4 linked regions of the Caenorhabditis elegans genome follow. The protein of the gene in region 4 purifies or fractionates together with the protein of the main gene of each other region. This does not show direct contact. Each region holds a gene or a part of one and is shown on either strand. Other genes may lie near its edges. The genes, in order: Y41D4B.11, nol-14, garr-1 and nol-16.

The links.
Region 1: the proteins of nol-16 (region 4) and Y41D4B.11 fractionate together in Caenorhabditis elegans (co-fractionation; one large-scale study listed by BioGRID). This does not show direct contact.
Region 2: the proteins of nol-16 (region 4) and nol-14 fractionate together in Caenorhabditis elegans (co-fractionation; one large-scale study listed by BioGRID). This does not show direct contact.
Region 3: the proteins of nol-16 (region 4) and garr-1 fractionate together in Caenorhabditis elegans (co-fractionation; one large-scale study listed by BioGRID). This does not show direct contact.

What each region holds. Positions count from the first base shown.
Region 1 is NC_003282.8:1,604,129-1,609,428, forward strand, and holds Y41D4B.11 (DUF1014-domain-containing protein), read left to right. Parts: upstream 1-1,583; coding exon 1,584-1,687; intron 1,688-2,771; coding exon 2,772-3,439; intron 3,440-4,410; coding exon 4,411-4,688; 3' UTR 4,689-4,773; downstream 4,774-5,300. Other genes in the region: putative histone-lysine N-methyltransferase set-23, read left to right, coding at 1,245-1,316, 1,370-1,433.
Region 2 is NC_003279.8:321,939-329,901, reverse strand, and holds the start of nol-14 (Nucleolar protein 14), read right to left. Parts: upstream 6,048-7,963; 5' UTR 6,043-6,047; coding exon 5,968-6,042; intron 5,924-5,967; coding exon 5,662-5,923; intron 5,614-5,661; coding exon 5,249-5,613; intron 4,604-5,248; coding exon 3,854-4,603; intron 2,944-3,853; coding exon 2,657-2,943; intron 2,056-2,656; coding exon 1,923-2,055; intron 1-1,922. Other genes in the region: xpo-2 (Exportin-2), read left to right, coding at 6,550-6,759, 6,809-7,117, 7,514-7,963.
Region 3 is NC_003282.8:424,535-427,756, reverse strand, and holds garr-1 (putative H/ACA ribonucleoprotein complex subunit 1-like protein), read right to left. Parts: upstream 1,590-3,222; 5' UTR 1,588-1,589; coding exon 1,255-1,587; intron 1,207-1,254; coding exon 805-1,206; 3' UTR 553-804; downstream 1-552. Other genes in the region: Phosphatidylinositol 3,4,5-trisphosphate 3-phosphatase and dual-specificity protein phosphatase daf-18, read left to right, coding at 2,609-2,819, 2,870-3,114. UniProt on the Caenorhabditis elegans protein: Required for ribosome biogenesis. Part of a complex which catalyzes pseudouridylation of rRNA. This involves the isomerization of uridine such that the ribose is subsequently attached to C5, instead of the normal N1.
Region 4 is NC_003279.8:8,253,449-8,256,856, forward strand, and holds nol-16 (Nucleolar protein 16), read left to right. Parts: upstream 1-1,899; 5' UTR 1,900-1,904; coding exon 1,905-2,014; intron 2,015-2,060; coding exon 2,061-2,169; intron 2,170-2,285; coding exon 2,286-2,381; intron 2,382-2,503; coding exon 2,504-2,758; 3' UTR 2,759-2,864; downstream 2,865-3,408. Other genes in the region: fitm-2 (Acyl-coenzyme A diphosphatase FITM2), read right to left, coding at 190-297, 374-559, 607-763, 809-910, 1,050-1,249, 1,326-1,395, 1,444-1,472; sre-23 (Serpentine Receptor, class E (Epsilon)), read right to left, coding at 2,912-3,061.

The sequences.
Region 1 (5,300 bases), on a different chromosome or scaffold from region 4:
GTTTAGGTTTTGTATTCCCGTAATCCATCATATTGCATTGCCCACTTTCACCGCTGCTTGCCCACTGAATACATGATTTTTTTACTTGGAAATTGTTTTAGCATCTGCAAAAAATATTTATTTATCAGTTTTATTAAGAAAAAACGAAAAAAATCGATGAAAAACAAAAGAAAACAGGCGGAAAACAAAGCAAGATAAATGGCCGCTGAAACTTGTCGGCCCCTCGGCCATGGCCTAGAAACCACTTTTCCTCGTCCCTCGTGAGGAAAAAGTTGCAGTGCCGTTGTTGACGTATTTTTAGAGTTTTTTAGGGAAAATTTCGGGAAAAAAACCTCGAAAAAGACACAATTTTTACGGAATGTATTATTCCTTATTCGGTTTTTTTGTTTGAAACAGGTATTTTTTGTAAATCTTCCGGAAAAGTTTTTCAAAAACCTTCAAAAATACGTTTTTTTAGAAATTCTATGTCATTTCATTCATTTTTTGGATAAAATTTCAGTTTTTCAAAAAAAATTCAAAAAAAAAACCATGAAAATTCACTTTTCAGTATTTTTTTAGAAGAACGTTCGGAAAAAAACGAATTTTCGAAATTTTAAAGAAAAAATTTTTGGTAAAATTTGGAAAAAACTAATGAAAAATATGTATTTTTGACATATTTTTTGCAATTTTTCAGAAAAAAAAAACTTCGAAAAATACACAATTTTTACGGAAACCTTATTCGGTTTTTTTTGGTTGAAATTTCTCGAAAAATATTTTTTTTTAAAAATATATTATCATTTTTCGGATAAAATTTCAGTTTTAATTTCAATTTTTCAAAGAAAATTCACTTTTAATTTTTTTTTCTTCAAAATAGCTCAATTTTAAAGCCTATTTCAGTATTTTTTGGAAGAACGTTCGAAAAAAAAGGAAAAATGATTCATTTTCGACGTATTTTTCGAAGTTTTTCATAACAATTTTCAATTTTTAGGCTTATTTCAGTCATTTTTTGAATAAAATTTCGAAAAAAACGAAAAAACTAATGAAAAATATGTATTTTTGACGTATTTTACGAAATTTTCAGAAAAAAACCAAAGAAAATCATGTTTTTCCAAGAATTTTTGGCGAATTTTTCGAAATTTTCTCAAATCGCTGCGACACCCATCGTGTTCCTTTAATCTTGTGTCGATTTACGCAGTGTATTTTTCCGAGTTTTCACCAAATTTCAAGTCATTTTAATGGAAAATAATCAATTTTTAATATTTCAGCGACATTGTACGTGGCGAGGAGTTGTGCTACGATTACGGACATTCGGCGATAGAAGGGGAAAATCGAAAATTGTATGAAAAATTTGAATTTTTTCACGATTTTACCAATATTTTTGTAATTTCAGGTGTCTGTGCAAGTCGGAAAAGTGCCGAAAGTACCTTCCAATGTCAGCAACGCCGATTGAATGAAAATTTTCGAAAAATTGGCGAATTTTCAATAAAAATATGTGTAAAAATATTTTTGTCTTCATTTTTTTGTCAAAAAAATTTGGTTTTGAAACCATTTTTAATATATTTTACTGATTTTTTTTCCGTTTTTGTGCAATTTTTCGTCTATAGATGGCTCAACATCGTCGAATTCCGAAAAAGAATCGGAAGAAGCTGAAGTCGGTGGATCCGTTCAACAATAAGGCAAATGCCGCTCGATTTAAGGATAAGAACAAGTGTGTGCTGAAAATTTGATGGAAAAAAAACGTTAAAATAGCTCAAAAATTCGAGTTCAGAGCAGAAAATGACGCAAAATTGGAAAATTTCAAAAATTAAAAAAAAACCCATTAAAATCTAATAATTTCAAAAAAAAAATTAACGAAAAATTGTAGAAAAACCTAATTTTTTTCGTAATTTCTAAGTTAATTTGTTAAATTTTTAATCCAAATTTGCTGCACAAAAACAAAAAAAATCCAAAATTTTAAGCCAAAATTATATTAAAATAGGTTATTTCCCTGATTTCTATCGGGTTTAGAAACATTTTTACTTGAAAAATTTGGAAAAAAATTGTTAAAATCCATAATTTTTACCATTTTTTTGCGTATTTTTAATGCAAAAAATATTGCGTTTTCAAATAAATTTATATGATATTTCAGGGCTAACTATAAAGCCGCAAAATTCAATTTGAGAAAAAAAAAAGACAAAAAATCACATAAAAAATAAAAATATCAGAAAATAAGCGAATTTACCAAATTTTTTGCCCGAAAAATGCCAAAAATTTGAAATTTTGGAAGCAAAAAATCACAAACTTTCATGTTTTTTTGTAGCAAAAAAATACATTTTTAGACGAAAAATTCAAGTTTTAAAGTTTTTTTTTCAATAAAAAATTTTGCATTTTTGGATATCTGAAAATTTCATGGCGTTTTCGCAAAATGTGTACATTTTTCGCACTCACCTGCCTACCTACCTGCCCTCGTTTTAAACGAAAAATTCAAGTTTGAAAATTTTTTTTTCCTAAATGTTTGGAATATTCGGCCTAAAAATTCAAAATCTTCAATTTTCGTGGAAAATTTCAATGGAAAATGGAAAAAATGCACAATTGTCTCCATTTTTGCCCAAAAATACCAAAAATTTGCAATTTTGGAAGCAAAAATCAAAAATTTTCAAGTTTGCTTTTTTGCAAAAAAAAAAGTGAATTTTTAGACGAAAAATACAAGTTAAAAAAAAAATTTTTTTTTCAGAAAAATGGCCAAAAAAAACATTTAAAAAACCAAAAAAATAGATTTTTACCCATTTTTTCTCTCAATTTTATAATTCCAGAAATTCGAATCAAGCTCCCGTGAGCCTGAAAGACGAGCAACCACTGACAAAAGCCGCCAAAAACCTGATGGGCTCCGGAATTACGACAAAAGAGGAGGTGAAAAAGAAGAAAAAGCAAAAGAATGCCGTGTTGGCTCAAGCCGAAGAGCTCGGAATGAAAAAGGGAAAATTCGAGACTGTGAACAGATTTGTGAAACGAATCGAAGGAACTCTTCACTCGAGAATTAATGAGCAAATTGCGATTGCAAAGCATGGATTGGCTGGTAGAAAGCAGGAGGAAATTGATGCTGATTATAAAATTATTGAGGACGCTGAAAAACGGAAGAAGGAGCAGGAAAAGCGAGAAATTGAGAATAAAATCAAAGAAGCGAGAAAGAAACGAGAACAGGAAGCCCGACGGCTGGAAGAGGTGGAGAAGCTGAAAGAGCAGAAAAAAGCTGAAAAAAGGAAAATGAAGGAAGCACTGGAAAAAGAAGAGGAAGAAGAGAGCTTTGATGAGGATGAAGTCTCTGAAAAACGGGCAAAAATTGAGAAAAGTACTGAAAAAGGAGGCAGTGAAAAAGCGACGACGAAACTCAGCAAAAAAGACCGTAGAAAGGAGACGTTGAAAGCGAGAAAATCGGATGAACAGAAGCGACGTGCCGGCGAGGCGTTGATTAATTCTAGAGGTGCAATTTTTTGCAAAAAAATAGTCCAAAAAAATCTATAATTGCACTCAAAAAAGCTTGAAAACTTGAAAATTTCAGCCAGAAAATTGCAAAACTGCAAATTTTGTTAATTTTTCGTAAAAAAAAATGACGACAGTTTTATATTTTCACTGCAACTTTTTCCTCACGAGGGACGAGGAAAAGTGGTTTCTAGGCCATGGCCGAGGGGCCGACAAGTTTCAGCGGCCATTTATCTTGTATTGTTTTCCGCCTGTTTTCTTTCGTTTTTCACAGCTTTTTCCCGTTTTTTCTTATTAAAACTGATAAATAAATATTTTTTGCAGATGCTAAAAGAATTTCCAAGTAAAAAAATCATGTATTCAGTGGGCAAGCAGCGGTGAAAGTGGTCAATGTAATATGATGGATTACGGGAATACAAAACCTAAACTTTTTCTGAAACATGATACATATGATGCTTAGATGCTGTAATTACCTGATTTTCATAACGAGACCGCTGAAAAAGTTTTGAGATTTTCAAAATTCAACTTTTTGTGCGAAAATCTCGACTTTTTCACCAAAAAAGTTGAATTGTGGAAACCTCAAAACTTTTTCAGCGGTCTCGTTATGAAAATCAGGTAATTTCAGCATTTAAGCATCATATGTATCATGTTTCAGAAAAAGTTTAGGTTTTGTATTCCCGTAATCCATCATATTACATTGACCACTTTCACCGCTGCTTGCCCACTGAATTCACAATTTTTTTTACTTGGAAATTGTTTTAGCATCTGCAAAAAATATTTATTTATCAGTTTTAATAAGAAAAAACGGGAAAAAGCTGTGAAAAACAAAAGAAAACAGGCGGAAAACAAAGCAAGATAAATGGCCGCTGAAACTTGTCGGCCCCTCGGCCATGGCCTAGAAACCACTTTTCCTCGTCCCTCGTGAGGAAAAAGTTGCAGTGCTGTAAAATTTCAAAAATCAAAAAATTCCAGAAATAATCGAGTTTGGCGAACGAAACGACGCGCCACCAACATTCGGCGGAGCTCTTAAAAAGAAATTCGAGCCATTGATGGCAAAAGCCGGCCAAAAGACGACGCTTCTTCTTCATTCAATGCTCCAAAAAGGCGGCGGCCAGAAGACGGAATATTTGAATAATTCGACGAAAATTCAAGAGGAACGGCAGAAGGTCATCGACGCGTACAGAGATATGAAGAAACAGAAGAGAATTGCTGCCGCTTTTGCTGCTGCTGCTTCTTCTTCATCTTCTTAATTTTAACTTTTTTCACTGTTTTTGTTATTTCTTCATTGTTGTGTCCCATTGTTCTTTTTTTTCATTCAGTAAAAATTCAAAAATCATCGGGTTTCCGAGAAAAGTTCTCAAAAAAAAAAATGCAAAACACTCCTGAAAACTGAAATTTTAGATCTTTTTCTTGGTTTTCTCTGAAAATTTCAAATTTCCCGCCAACATTTTTTCTCAAGAAGTTTGAATTTTCCGCCAAAATGTTTTTTTTCTCATTTTCACACTTTTTTGACGGAATATTTCACTCAGATTCCCCGTGTTTTTCTCGTGAATTGCTGTAGTATTATTAAATACGAGAACACAACAAAATTCTGAGACTGCGTATTGCACAACAATTTTGACGCGCAAAATATCTTGTAGCGAAAACTACAGTAATACTTTAAATGGCTACTGTAGACCACTGGCCAGATTTTGTGTTGGTTTTTTTCCCATTTATGAATGGAAAAAAAAAATTGGAAAAAAAACGTCGAGAAATTTGTTTCAAAAAACTCGTGCCCGTAAATCGACACAAGCGGCGCTACAGTAGTAATTTAAAGAATTACTGTAGTTTTCGCTACGAGATATTTTGCGCGTCAAATATGT
Region 2 (7,963 bases), 7.9 Mb from region 4:
ATGACCAAAATTGCTTCTAAAATTTTTTTGAAATGCTGCAGCTTCATTGCGTCCACCGAGATTTCACCGTTGAAGAGTGATTTCCCTCGATTTTTATTAGTTTTTCGTCGATTTTTCTATTTCAAAATGATAACAATTATAAAGTAGACTGAACCGAAAGTGGAGAAACAAAAATTATCGGAAACCGTTCGGTGGAAATGCATAACGAACTGTTTGAAAATAACAACTGAATTTTCGGATTTTTTAAAATTAAATTTTTATTTGTTTTTCTCATAACCTGCAATGATAACGTTTATAGAGCAAACTTTTCTCGTCATTTTAAGATATAATTCGTCTATGTACCTGTTGAAAGAACTCAGATCGAACTCTTTTTGTGAAATCCAGTTATAATTTTTCGTTAAAAAGAGGAGCTAAAAGTTATTAATCTGAATTAAAAAGAGTCGAGACAGTGAATCTAATTAATATTTGGTATTTTATTAGAGCAATACACGTATTAAACATTTTATCATGGGTTTTTCGGCTCCAATTTTGTTGGCACAATATTTTATTTCTTGCCACATACTACTGTACGTTTGGGCTCAAATAAGCCATACAAAGTGCTGAACTATGAAGAATAATGTTTCAACATTACATTACTTACAAAAAATCAGATTGAAAGCAATGTTTTCAGTCTTTCTTGGCTTTTTTCAACATAACTTAGTATTACCATCTTATTCTGTGCCTCAACTTAATCGTTACAAGTTTGAATTCTTGAGAAAACTGTATTTAAAACCTATTAAGGCTTTTCAAAACTCAAATATATAAAAACGGTATCTTCTTAAGCTTTCGTTTTTAGTTTCCAATACTTTCCTTTCAGTAAGGCTTGAAATTTTTGGAAGCTTCACTGCTAGTTTCCCACTTCACGATTTTCCAATTTCAACTTGTTAAAACTGGCAAGATCACAGAAAAAGCCACACTTCCATGATAAAATCACAGAAAATTAAAGAAATTGGGCTGAATGTCTCAGATTTAGTGATTCTGGCACATGATCATTTCTCAAAACTTCAATTCAAAAATAAAATTGTTTGTGACCAAACCTTCATTTCTTATTTGACTTTCAGGCTATATATTTAATTATATTTCTTAATTGTCTTCAAATTTTTTTGAGATTTCCCCACTTTATGTAGTGAAAACAAAGATAAACTTCTTATTTTCTCAATTTTTCAATAAATTTAACCTTTTGCAGCAAGGTATTCTCTTTTTAACTGAGAAAACTATTTTAAAAATTCATTTCATCATCTTTCCTTTGCTTTCTCAAGAAAATTTCATAGAAGAAATGAATTTTTTCCGCAAAAATAATTCAATATTCAGAAGTGCGCCAGCACGCGAAAGGCGCATCGGTGAAACGCGCAAGCAATCTCCCTCCCCCTTCGTTTCCACCCGAGGAGACCGTGTTTCCTAAAAAAAAAATTTCAAAATCGCTGAAACTTAAATTTTTTTGGCTCTCGGCAATTTTTTTTGTTTTTTTTTAACCGTTTTGTATGTGCAAAATTGATATTTAATTTGTTAAAAATAGAAAATTCGGAAAAAAACTTGATTTTCGTTTTTCAATCGGTGGTTTTTCGGTTTTTCAGAAATCTATTAAAAAATTATTTTTCGGAAAATTGCTTTTAAAAAATTTCAAGCAGTTTTATACAAGAAAAAGTGAACATTTTATCATTGGCAATTTTGTGAAAATTTAAAATTTAATTTTAAATTTTTCAAAACTAAATTTTCAAAAAAAAATCATTTTTATTTGAACAAAATTTTTAATTTATATTATAAAATTCGATTTTGCCAGTTTTTTTTTTAAATATTGAGCGTTTTTAAGCAAATTTTTTTAAAGAGAAAACCAAAAAAAAAAACCAATTTTTTGCTCAAAAAAACAAATTTTATAAATTTACCTTCTCCTCAAAGCATAACATTTCCGTGTGTGGCTTGGAAATCGGGAATCCATTTGTCGCGAATTTCTCACTTTTCTCTGTAACTGCAAGCAGAAGAGCACTTCGAGCAAATGCGACCAGCTCGGGGACGTATCTGAAATTTATTTTATTGAAAACAATTTTCAACTTTCGGATTTTTCGTAAAAATGGAGTTCGGTTTTTTTTTTAATTTCAAAATTTTGATACGCTTCGATAATTCGGTTTTTTAAATTTTTTTAAAAGAGACGAGAGATTTTTTAAAAATAGAGAAATGACCGGAAGATTTTTGAAAAATTGCAATTTTTTCTAAAAAATTAATTTAAAAAAAAACGGGATTTTTGTATTTTTTCAATGTTTTCTGATCTAAAAATTGCCAAAACAAAATTTATATCAATTTTTGAAAAATTCGCTTTTTTTTAACATTAAAATGGAAAATTAATGCAATTATTTGTTAAAAAATGAACTTCAGAAAAAAAAATCAAGTTATATTTTAAAAAATTGCTTTTTTGAATTTTTATAGTAATCTTTTTTCGATATCGAAAAAAATAGATTTTTTTAAGCGACAATTCTGAATTTTAAATTTTTTGAGTTAGCTTTTGAAAATAATATTTTTGGTGGTTTTGGCTTTTTTTTTCGTTACTTTTCCTATTTTATATCAAAGCTTTCAGTATTTTTTTCAAAATTTGCCTATTTAAATGTTCGTTTCCAAGTATTACCTCTTGGATTCAGACACATATTCAACAATAGCATTAGCCAATTGAATTTGTTTAGCCAACGCATTCAAATTGGCACATTTCGCCGAGCAAAGTGCTTCAGTTGCCAAAAAAAGAGCCGGAACCACTACAGGATGCCAGGAATCGGCAACTGGGAAGAGGCCGGAAACAAGACGAATTGCAGAGATTAATCCAAATGACACTGGGCTACTCTTCTGTTTATCCTGGCGGCCTTTCCAGTGTTGACGGATTAGAGCACGCACACATCGGACTCCGTATTGAATGTCGAACTGCAAAAAACAATTTGAAATTTTTTTCAATTGTTGAATTTTTTGCGTTTTTTAATCTGAATTTTTAATATTATTTTCTTTATTTTCAGGATTTTCCATATTTTTTTTCTGAAATTTTAATGATTTTTTATATAATGTTTCTTTAAAAATATTTCCATGATCGTTTCCTATTTTTAATGATTTTTTTCTTAAATTTTCATGATTTTCCTGGTTTTTCTTTTTTTTTTCGAGACTGATTTTCAAAAAAAAAAGGTTTTAATTTCACATGATTTTTCTCAAAAAATCGGGGCTTTTTTGCAATTTTTGGGTCAAACATTCGGGTATTTTTTTTAATTTTTTGGCCAAAGTTTTTGGAATTTATTGCAATTTTTAGGTCAAAAAATTCGGGGATTTTAAAACATTTTTTGGTAAAAAATTCGGGACTTTTTTGCAATTTTTGGGTCTAAAAATCGAGACTTTTTTGCAATTTTTCGGTCAAAAATTCGGGGATTTTAAAACATTTTTTTGTAAAAAAACCGGCTTTTTTGCAATTTTTAGGTCAAAAATTCGGGGATTTTAAAACATTTTTTGGTAAAAAATTCGGGACTTTTTTGCAATTTTTGGGTCTAAAAATCGAGACTTTTTTGCAATTTTTAGGTCAAAAATTCGGGGATTATAAAACATTTTTTGGTAAAAATATCGGGACTTTTTTGCAATTTTTGGGTCTAAATATCGAAACTTTTTTGCAATTTTTAGGTAAAAAATTCGGGGATTTTAAAACATTTTTTGGTAAAAAATCGGGACTTTTTTGCAATTTTTGGGGTATAAAAATCGGGAATTTTTCAAAATTTTAGGTCAAAAATTCTCGAATTTTTTCAATTTTCAGATTAAAAAGTGCGGTAATTTTTCAGCTTTTCCATCCAATCGCTACCTTCATCAACGCATGCATAGTTTCCTGCGCTAAATTCATTTCCTTCACACTTTCCGCTGTCAATTCCTCCTTCGACATATCATCAAACCATCTTAAACACAAGAGGAAAAGCTTATTCAGACGCTTCTTATTTCCTTCTTTAAGGCTCGGATGATGACATTTCACGAGTCGTTCCAGCACTAAATCCATCGATTCCGAGTGTTTTTCCAGAAGAGCACAGAATTTTTTATAGTTTTTCGGCATTTCGAATACGAATGGCAGAGTTTCAGCGGGTTCTGGAGCAGATTTTTTCGCTTTTTTGACGACTTTTTGGGCTTCCTGAGCTTCCTCATCATCGGAATCTTCTTCCAGCTCATCCTCATCTTCCAGTAGATCATCCAGATCCTCTTCCTCATCTTCTAGATCCTCGTCATCGTCAGATTCATCAGAACCATCCAGATTTTTCTTTAAAATCCTGGATTTTTCCACCGTATCCTCATCGATCAGGCCACCTTCATCGTCAAATTTGACCTCAAATCTCGAATTTTTCGCCTGAACTTTTCTGGCGTCGGCCTTCGATCCAGCATCGATATCAACGTCGGCATCGGCTGATAAATGAGATTTTGCGTTGAAAAATGCATTATTTTTCGAGATACGGGCGGCCTCGAGAGTTTCCAGACGTTCTTTTTCTTTCAGAGCTTCTTCTTCTTCGGATAGCTTACGATCTGCTGGGGTGGCACGAGCGTCGGCTTCGGTTTTCAAGGTGATTGTCTGGAAAAATAATAATTTTTGGATAAAAAATGGAATAAAACCTATTTTTCTTGATTTTTTAGGCGAAGAAACAAAAAAAAAGCCTTTTTCTATCATTTTTTAAACAAAAAAATTGGCTTTTTCTTAATTTTTTTGTCGAAAAATAGTTATTTTAAATTGTTTTATTTTGTAAAAAAACGACTTTTTTAAAGTTATTTTTCGGCGAAAAATTTATTTTTTTAAATTAAAAATTGCCTTTTTCGTCATTTTTGTCAAAAGAAAAACCGACTTTTCTCGAATTTTTGTCAAAAAAATTGACTTTTTAATGATTTTTCGTCAAAAAAATTCTCAGTTCAGCTCAATTTCTTTCGCGATAAGAAGTTAAATGTTTTATTTTTCACTTCAAATTGCACAAATTCCGAAATAATTTTACAGTGTTTTCTCTGATTACAAAGCTAAAACTTGGATTTCTTCAACTTTTACAGCAAAATTAATGAAAATTTCCAATTTCCATAGCAAAAATGGTTAAAAATTAGCATTTTCAGATCAAGTTTTTTGGGTTTTAGGTTTTCCACTAAAAAATTGTGAAAAAAATCGATTTTCACTCTAAATTTATAATTATCTTTTATCTTAAAAATTTGGAGAAAACCGGGATGTTTCCCGTACCAATTTGTCGTAATCATCTTTTTCCAGCGGCTGGCGCCCGGTCGGCCTAAATGAAGCCTTCATTTTGCCCATCAAAGCCTGATACTTGGAATCCAACGACTCTGTCATCAGCTCGAGCTCATCCTTCTGCTGTTGCTTCTCGTGACGCGCCAGCTTCGTTTTCGCAATCAAATTCGAAATCATATCCTCTCGGCTGATTTTTTCGCGGACGTGCTCCTCGGCGGTCTTCTCTCCACCACCGAAATGAGCCACTTTTACCATATTTGAGCCCAAATTTCCCGGCTCTTCATCGTCATCCGAGTCGGAAATCATCGATTTGTCGTATTTTTCAATGTCCGAGAGCGCTTTTCCCTTGTGAGTAAGTACTGAAATTTACTTTATTAAAATTTTTCTCAATTTATTTCGGAATAAACCTTCTTCCTCCTCATCTCCATCATCTGTCAAGTTGAATTTCGATGCTCTTTTATAATTTTTGACTCTTTCCTCTGTGAATCTCATCGCGCCCTTCTCCTCCTCGCTTTTTCCGTCCTTTTCGCCGAGCCGTTTGTCGACAATTTTGCTAATCTTATTTTTCCGGTCATATTCTACGCCTAGCGTCTGTTCACGTTGCTCGTGAGCTCGTTTTCGTGACGCAGTCGGTGCTCCAACTTGTGCGCCCTTTTTCCGGCCGAGAATCTGCGAGAAAATCGATTTTTTCTTCAAAACTCTGAAAAACTCACGTCATGCTTGGATTTGTTGAATTTTAGCTCGAATGGATTGGTTTTTCGTTGCTTTTGCTTTTTATCAACACCCATGTTTGCTGAAAATGCGAAAAATTAGGGGGGAAACAGAGAAAAAACCAGGGGTATCCAGGAAAATTTAAGAATAAAAATTGGGAAGTTTGCGCGTCAAGTCGTGCGCATTGTACGCAACGACGCCTTTATTTTGCAAAGTTTTGAAAATTGAAATGTTTTAATTTATTTTTTTATGCACGTTTTGCTGAAAAAGTGGAAAATTTGAAGAAAATCAAGGGAAAACTAGGAAAAATCAGTAAAAATCAGTGAAAACAGAGAACATAATGAAAAAAATTTGCGCGTCGGGTCGGGTGCGCTGTACGCAAACACTTCACACTTTTGAAATTTTTTTTTTATTTTTGCGAATTTTTGCGAGTTTATTCCCCGCGGGCCTGCGAAAAATTGCGTAAAACTTTAATATTTTGACCGGAAATTTTAGATTTCAAGTTTTAAGCTAAACTATCTTTGTCCTTTCACCTAATTCTTCCCTATTTCACCCCCAAAACAGCTATTTTTCCCTATTTTCAGATGGAGCAAATCGGAGCAGCTCTCCAGCAGACTCTGGAGCCGGATGCTGCGATTCGCAAGCGTGGAGAAGAAGCGCTCCGCTCGCTGCAATCAAATCCAGGCTATATCATTCAAATTCTTCAACTGGTGGTCAACGAACAGCAACAAATTGCTCCGCAGATCCGAATCGCCGCGGCTGTCGCTTTGAAAAATTTTGTGAAGAGAAATTGGGTTGGAAAATTTGAATAAATGCGTGAATTTTATATTTAAATTGTTTCAGGGCCCGGCACCAGAGGTAGAAATGGGCCAGGAAGACGAGGAGCAGTTCAGAAGCATGCTTCTCGAAGCGATGTTCAATACAAAATCAAATGTTCAGGAAATCCTGTCCAATGCTCTGTATCTCATCGCTCAGAGAGATTTTCCCGAAAAATGGCCAGATTTGGTTCCATATTTGTCGAAATTCCTGAACGGAGCGGATCTCAATCACCTGGTGGCCTCGCTGGCGTCGATGGAGCAGATTTTCCGCAAATTCCGATTCGAATCCAAGTCAGCAGAGCTTTGGAAAGAGCTGAAGAAGTGTCTACTGAGCGTGAGTTGCGTTTTGGCTCAAAATTTGGCTAATTTCAGCTAAAATCCCCAATTTTGGCCACTTTTTTACGTCGCAGCCGTCGGAAGTTGAATTTTTGTCCGCTTTGACCCTAAAAAATGACCAAAATTAGACATTTAAGCTAGCTAAAGCTGGCCTTGTTTTCCGAAAAATCGTGAAAAATTCAACATTTTATGATTTTTTAGTCAAAAATTTTAACTAAAGCAAAAATGAGGAATTTTTGGCGAAAATTGATAATTTTCCTATAAAAATGGACAAATTTTCAAAATTTTTGAGCCAAAAAATTGAAGAAATCTGAATGTCAGTCTCGAATTTGGACCGAAAAACTGTTTTCTCCCCAGATTTTTCAGTTACAAATAAAAAGAACCGATTTTTCAGACCCAAGAGCCTCTAACTCTGTTGCTACGGAACATGATGGAGGTGGGACAGCGGAAGGATCAACTCGGAGCCGACGAGATCGCCCAATGGCTCCGAGTCTTACTTCTCATTGCAAAAGTCTACCATTCTCTGTGCTCACAGGAGATTCCGGAATACTTCGAGGATCATCTCAAGGACTGGATGCCACACTTCTTGCATCTCGTGCAAATCGACGCGCCGACGCAGACCTCCAACTCGGGAGAACCTACAACTCTGGACGAGCTTAAGCACGAGATCTGTGAGATCTTCACGCTCTACTCGCAACGCTACGAGGAGGAGATCTCCGAGTTCGTGCCCGACATCATCCTTGCCGTCTGGAATCTGCTCAAGTCTACCGGCCCCGACACTCGATACGATACGATGGTGTGCGCCGCGCTGGAATTTCTGTCGATGGTCAGCCAGCGACAGTAC
Region 3 (3,222 bases), on a different chromosome or scaffold from region 4:
CAATAACGAAGCGAGAAACTCGCTCAATTTTTCCGCATACTATGGACGCCTCGGGTCGCGGGAAATTTTCGTTTTCCGCAGACTATGGACGCACCATAATAAATTGAGCCCGTAAATCGACACAAAAGCTACAGTAGCTACTGCAGTAGTCCTTCTAAGAGTTACTGTAGTTTTGGCTACGAGATATTTTGCGCGTCAAGTATGTTGCGCAATACACTCAAAATAAGAAAACTGCGTGGCGTGTACTGCAGAAAACCTCATATTTAGGCCCCGCCTTTTGTGGCGTGGTACAGTATGTACACTGCTGAGATTAGAACAATGAAAATCGCTCAGAATTATTTTTATCTTCAGCCGTTTTGATTGAGAGCTCTATTCTGTTAAAATTTCAAATTTCAAAAGTTAACCTGTATTGCAAAATTTCAATTGCTAATTGCTACTTTACTACTTTCTAGATTTTGTTCTCAAGCTAAATATATAATTTTCCAGTGTAATCTGTCAAATTAATGGCTGGAACTTGGTTGCGGCGATTAAAAAATGTTATAAGAACGATATATCAAAGCGCGCTTAAATGCGAACTCCAAATTTTATTCGCCAAAAATGCTTGCCTCAGAGCGCTGTGTGATTAGTGAAATAAAATAACTAAATTATATGATTATTATAATGTGTATAAAATACCAACAAGTTCAACAAAAAAGTGATCAAAAAATGAGGGCAGATGAGAAAAGGAAAACAAAGAAAATCAACAATTGGTAAAAAAAAAGGATGAAAACAATTGGAACATACAGTTTTTTAGAGAAGAAACAATTATTCGAATTTAGTTCTCTTATTATTCTGTCCTCCGAAACTTCCACCATCGTATGATCGTTTGAAGTCTCCACGTCCGCGACCTCCGAAGTCTCCTCCACGGCCACCACGGAACCCTCCACGGTCTCCGCCTCGGAATCCTCCACGACCACCGCCAAAACCTCCGCGATCCCCGCCTCTGAATCCACCGCCGCCGCCTCTTCCAAAGCCTCCACGACCTCCACGGTCACTGCCACGTCCTCCACGATCCCCACCGCGTCCGCGACCACCTCTTCCACGCCCTCCGCCGGCTTGTGGAAGGAAACGATCAACTGGTAAAAGCTTTCCGGGATCAATGTACAGCTGAGACTCTGGTTCGAATGAAGAGGCTTTTACTCCTTGTGACAATGTGACGGAGAATCCCTGCAGCGAATAAATTTATGATTAATTTTCAATTAAGAGATTACTTACGTTCTCCCCGGGGGATCCAAAAATCTCGTCGATTTTTCCGACTTGTTCCTTATTCTTGAAGTAAATTGGAGCATTGAAATATGGGATTTTTCCACTCGTATTGTTGCAAACAATATCATCTTGGCACTGATGGGAGAAGACACCGACGAGCACAACTTCCTCTGGTGGTCCCTGATCGTAACCTCCACGGCCGCCCCCTCCGAATCCACCGCGTCCTCCACGGAAGCCACCACCTCTGTCACCGCCGCGACCTCCACGGAATCCACCGCCTCCACCGCCACCACGACCACCTCGAAATCCACCACCGCCTCCACGTCCACCACGGAAACTCATTTCTGAAATGTCAAACAATTTTTGAACTTTAAAGTTATTCAAGTGCAAAATAAAATCAAACTGGACATAAAAATATATTTGTTGAGAAATTCAATAGAAAAAATTGGTATTGCAAAACAAAAAGGGGTTTTCTTGTACATAATATTCACAGAAATTTCAATTTTCTAAATATGAGAAAATTAAGAAAATCACAAGAAATTGATTTTCGCCTATTTCGAAGAATTTCATCGCACTATACAAACTTTAGACTCTAAATACAACTTATAAATAACGATTATTTCGTTTTTTGCCAGTTTTTAAACAAGAAAATCAATAAAAACTATTGGAAAACGTTAAAAAATATCGAAAAAAAAATCGAAGAGAAGAGAAAAATGCAGTGAGAAGAGAGGCGTTCGTGGCGAGACCCGTGCCGTTTGAATTAGCGTGCGCCTTTAAGAGACATTTTTTGGATTTTGTTTTTTCGCCGCGAAACCGATCTTTTTCGGTGTTTATCTGCTTTTTCGACAATTTTTATTCATTTTTTCTTGATTTTTCAATACAAATAAACATTTTCCACACGTAGGTTATAAAAATATCCGAAATCTTCCTATTTCTTGGTTGAAAATGCTCATAAATCAGTAGACCAAAATTTTGCTTTTTTGATCAAATGATTTCATATGATCTTCTACTATTGGCGCTGGCGGGTATTATTTTCTAATAAATCAGTCTTGTTTTTTTTAAGTCGAAAATACGCATATTGGCGATTTTCAACGGATTTCTAGCTCTTTTTCAGCTCATTCTTAACGAGGAAATGTAGTCTGTCTTTCTGCTCCTCTCGTATCTCTCGGGTCTGAGCTCTCTGCGTGAACAAATCTGAGCTTTAGCATGAGCTAGTTAATCCCTTAATCCTTTGCGCTCATTTGGCATTCTATTCTATCACACTTCACCTGACAATGTTTAAATTATAAAATTCGCTGAAATTCTCTTCTAATTCGTTCCTCTTCATGAATTTGCAGTTTCCAGGTACATCTACTAACCCCCAATGGTTACTCCTCCTCCAGATGTGCCAAGCACATCGACCAGGTCGATGGCTCGTGACCTTCAAGAGAATCCAAACCGACAACCTGGTGAACCACGTGTGTCTGAACCGTATCACAATTCAATCGTCGAGCGGATTCGCCATATTTTTCGGACGGCTGTATCTTCCAATCGTTGTCGCACCGAGTACCAAAATATCGACCTAGATTGTGCATGTAAGGCACTTCTCTTGAGTTCAAAGCATTTCAATTTTCAAAACTTTCAGATATCACAGACCGAATCATAGCTATCGGTTATCCAGCAACAGGAATCGAAGCGAATTTCCGTAACTCAAAAGTTCAAACTCAACAATTTCTGACCAGGCGGCACGGAAAGGGCAACGTGAAGGTGTTTAACCTGCGCGGTGGATACTACTACGATGCGGATAACTTCGATGGAAATGTTATTTGCTTCGATATGACTGATCATCATCCGCCGAGTCTCGAATTAATGGCTCCGTTTTGCAGAGAGGTTATTTTTCATCACTTCTGTGGCTCTAAAATTTCCGAATGAACGTGATTGCCCTGAAATTTTAAATCATGAGGACTCTATTGAAGGAGGACTAACACAGGCCCAAAA
Region 4 (3,408 bases):
ATATATGATAATGAATTTATATAAATAAAACAAAAACAGAACATTAACAGTTACTTAATTAAAGGAGAAACCAGTAAACGAGGCAATAGAGGGGATGTAAGACGATTTTACAAAAAGTTTAAATTTCAGGATTTTAATTAACACACAAAAGGAGGACTAGAATTTTGAAAATATTCACATTGATAATATTTATTTTCTGCCCACAGTCCGGCGAATTGGGGAGGCCAAGAATCCGGCTGGATAGAGCATGCGGTAGGTCACAAACCAGCAAACGACAGCGGCCACAGCTCCGAGAATCTGAAAAATAGGGAAATTGAGTAATTAAATTTTTGAAGAATACAAATTGTTATTCTGAGATGCAAAATATGATTACCTCTTCAATGAAGATATGATAATAAAGAACGGAGATGATAATTTGCTTGAACCAGAATGCATGAAGGAACAACATTGCGACGAAGAAATATTGAATGCATCGAGTCAAACGATCATGTTCTTCACGATCACCGTCCATTTGATGAACTGCATCAGTTACTTGTTGATAATGACGGTAAGCAATCGCCTGTAAACATTCCCATATTGTTTTCTGAAACCTTTTTTTCTTTATACCTCCTCAGTGATAATCAGAATACTGTAGATCATCAAGAAGCAGTGACCTGAAATATCATATCCTGGCGTCCAGACACCTTCTTTTTCGGAACACTGAGCACGAGTCAGAGTACGTCCTTTGTCACACATTGAGGTTAGTGCAAGAACTTTGTGGAAACTGAAAACTTTTTCGTTTAAGTAAGAATTATTGCATAAAGCTTACAATTGCACAGAAAAGTACCAACACGCGGTTCCCACTCCAAGACGGCACACATCAACGATTGGTTGATCACGATCACGACGATTGTGAGCTTTTGAAGAGAACCTGCAAACTTTATGGTTTTCGAAACAAAAATATTTGCATATTATAACAAAATACTAGATTCTGATTAACTTCTGCAAGAAAAGAGAGAAACATTAACTTATCCCTCACATCAGTGTCATTAAAATTCAAGAATACTTACCAAATAAATGGACCAACGATGACAAGTGTCCAAAACCATCCCATTTTTACTCCATATTGATTCAGAACACTGTGCTTTTGGACCAAATAATACGTGGAATCTAGTTCAATACGGGACTCGATGAAAGAGAGCACAGTCACAAAAGCCAGATAGAAGAGGGCAACTTTTCGAGCATCGATGAACAGAATTTGACGAGCGATCTGCAATATTGAAATTTTATATTTAAAACGATTAAACTTTCTCGTTTAAATTTTATTTTGAAGAATATATACTTACAGCAACGAAAATCCCGAGTGCAGCATTCGGCGTGCTATTTGGGGAAGCTGGTCGCTTTGTTGTGGAGTCTCTGAAAAATCAACTCATTTTGTCAAAAACAATTATAGTTCAAACATACGCTCTTGTAGAACTACGCCTTGTTGACATAATTATCTGTAAAATTGATTAATTAATAACCTATGAAAACTGAAAAAGAAGACTATCACACGTCGAATTAATCGGAAAACCCGAGAAAGTGTCAATTAAATGGAGAAAACTAGTCCGGCGGGTTTATTGACGAATATTGCGATTTTTAAAGCACCAATTAGTTTTTATGAGAACATAATAATATTTTTTCTTCATTGAAAACAAAATTGTATTAAAAATATATAACATTTAACAAAGAATTGTGTTGTTAAAATAATTCTCGACGAAAAAAAAAACAAACTGACGGTGGCCTAGAATCCGACAACTCATCAAGTTTCTCTTCCATTTCGTCCTGAAATTTTTTCGAAGAATCTTTCCCTATTTTCTCGGTTTTACTGTTTTTCCTCTGATTGTATTGTATTTATTTCGAAATTTTATTGTTTTTCAGAAAAAATGGCACGTGATGTAAAGAAGAGAGGAAAGCCAGCGTATACAAACCGCAGAAACCGACAAAAATATCTCAAGAAGAAGGATAACAAGAAAAAATTATCGAAAAGTGCAGTGTGAGTTAATTTTTGTCTATTTTTCCATTTAAATAGTGACTTGCAGGCCAATTATCAAATACACATGGGATGAAACTAAGACTCCTCGAGAAAACGTCCGCGACATGGGTATCGCATTTAATCCAAATGACGCGGTTCCAATCGCTGAACACAGAGTAGGTTATCGATTTTTTCAAGGCGTTGTGCATTGACGGAACTTAATTGCGCACTTTGTCTTGCGGAAGTCCAAATTAAATTTCATGCTCATTGATTCATAATTTTGAATTTTCAGAAAGAGATCATCGACGCGGAGCCAATTGACGGTGTCAGTATTGTTGTTCCCAAACCGGAAAAGAAAGTTACTGGAAGAAAAAAGAATGAGAAACAGGTAAAATTTAATCATAGTTGGTAGTAAATAACGCTAAAGTTTTAGTTTCTGAAAAAAGCAGGTCCGATGAATCGGTTTCTAAATATTTAATTCAATTGTTTTAATTCTGTTATTATTTCCAGGCAGCACACATTATCTCAAATCTGGAACAGCAAGTGAAAGAAGAAGAGGAAGCTCGAGCTGGACAAGACCGGAAATTCCGACTTTTCCATAGAGAAACCGAGCTTTGTGTCTACATGCTGGCTCGTCACGGCGAAGATTTTCAAGCAATGACTCGTGATCCGAAGAATTTATGGCAATACACACCGAAGCAGTGGGCGAAGAAGATCCGTACACACAAAGAGTCCGAGATGTGTAAATTCCTCGAAACTGCATAAGACTGTTTTTCAAAATTTTTTGATACTTTTGTTTGAGCTTTTATTGTTATTGTTGATACTGTTATGGGGGACTTTTGTTCCTTTACAAATAAAATCAAAAATTATTAACATTCATTGTGTACATTTCAGATATATTAAGCAGCTCTTCAGAGATTAATATTTGGCATTAATTTTCGGTTTTCTCAAAGATCCAGTGCGCATCTTTCCTCGACAAGCACCATCTCCTTCCAGTTGCCTCTCGAAAATCTCAAAATACATGTCACTCTCCCGGTCCATTTGAGGGCGAAGCTTTCGAATATCAACCTAAAATTTCGAACTTACACAATTTCAAAGAAAAAAAACCAGGATAAACGGGGGATTTTGCTTTAAAAAATCCAAAGTTGTTTTACTATTAAATTCAGAAATAACAAAAAGAAAAACTAAAAAAAATGACGACAGAGTGAAAAATCCAACTTTTAAAAACTTGATTTTGCAATTTTGGCTAAATTCTCTGTTTGAACTTCCTCGGAAATGAAAACTGCGACCAATCATCGATTCGCTTCGCCCACTTTTGAACCAATCAGATGTTCGAAGACGCTGATTGGTTCGAAAATGGGCGTGGCATCTCATTTTGGAGGAAGTTCAAATATGGAGTTTTGCCAAAATTGATA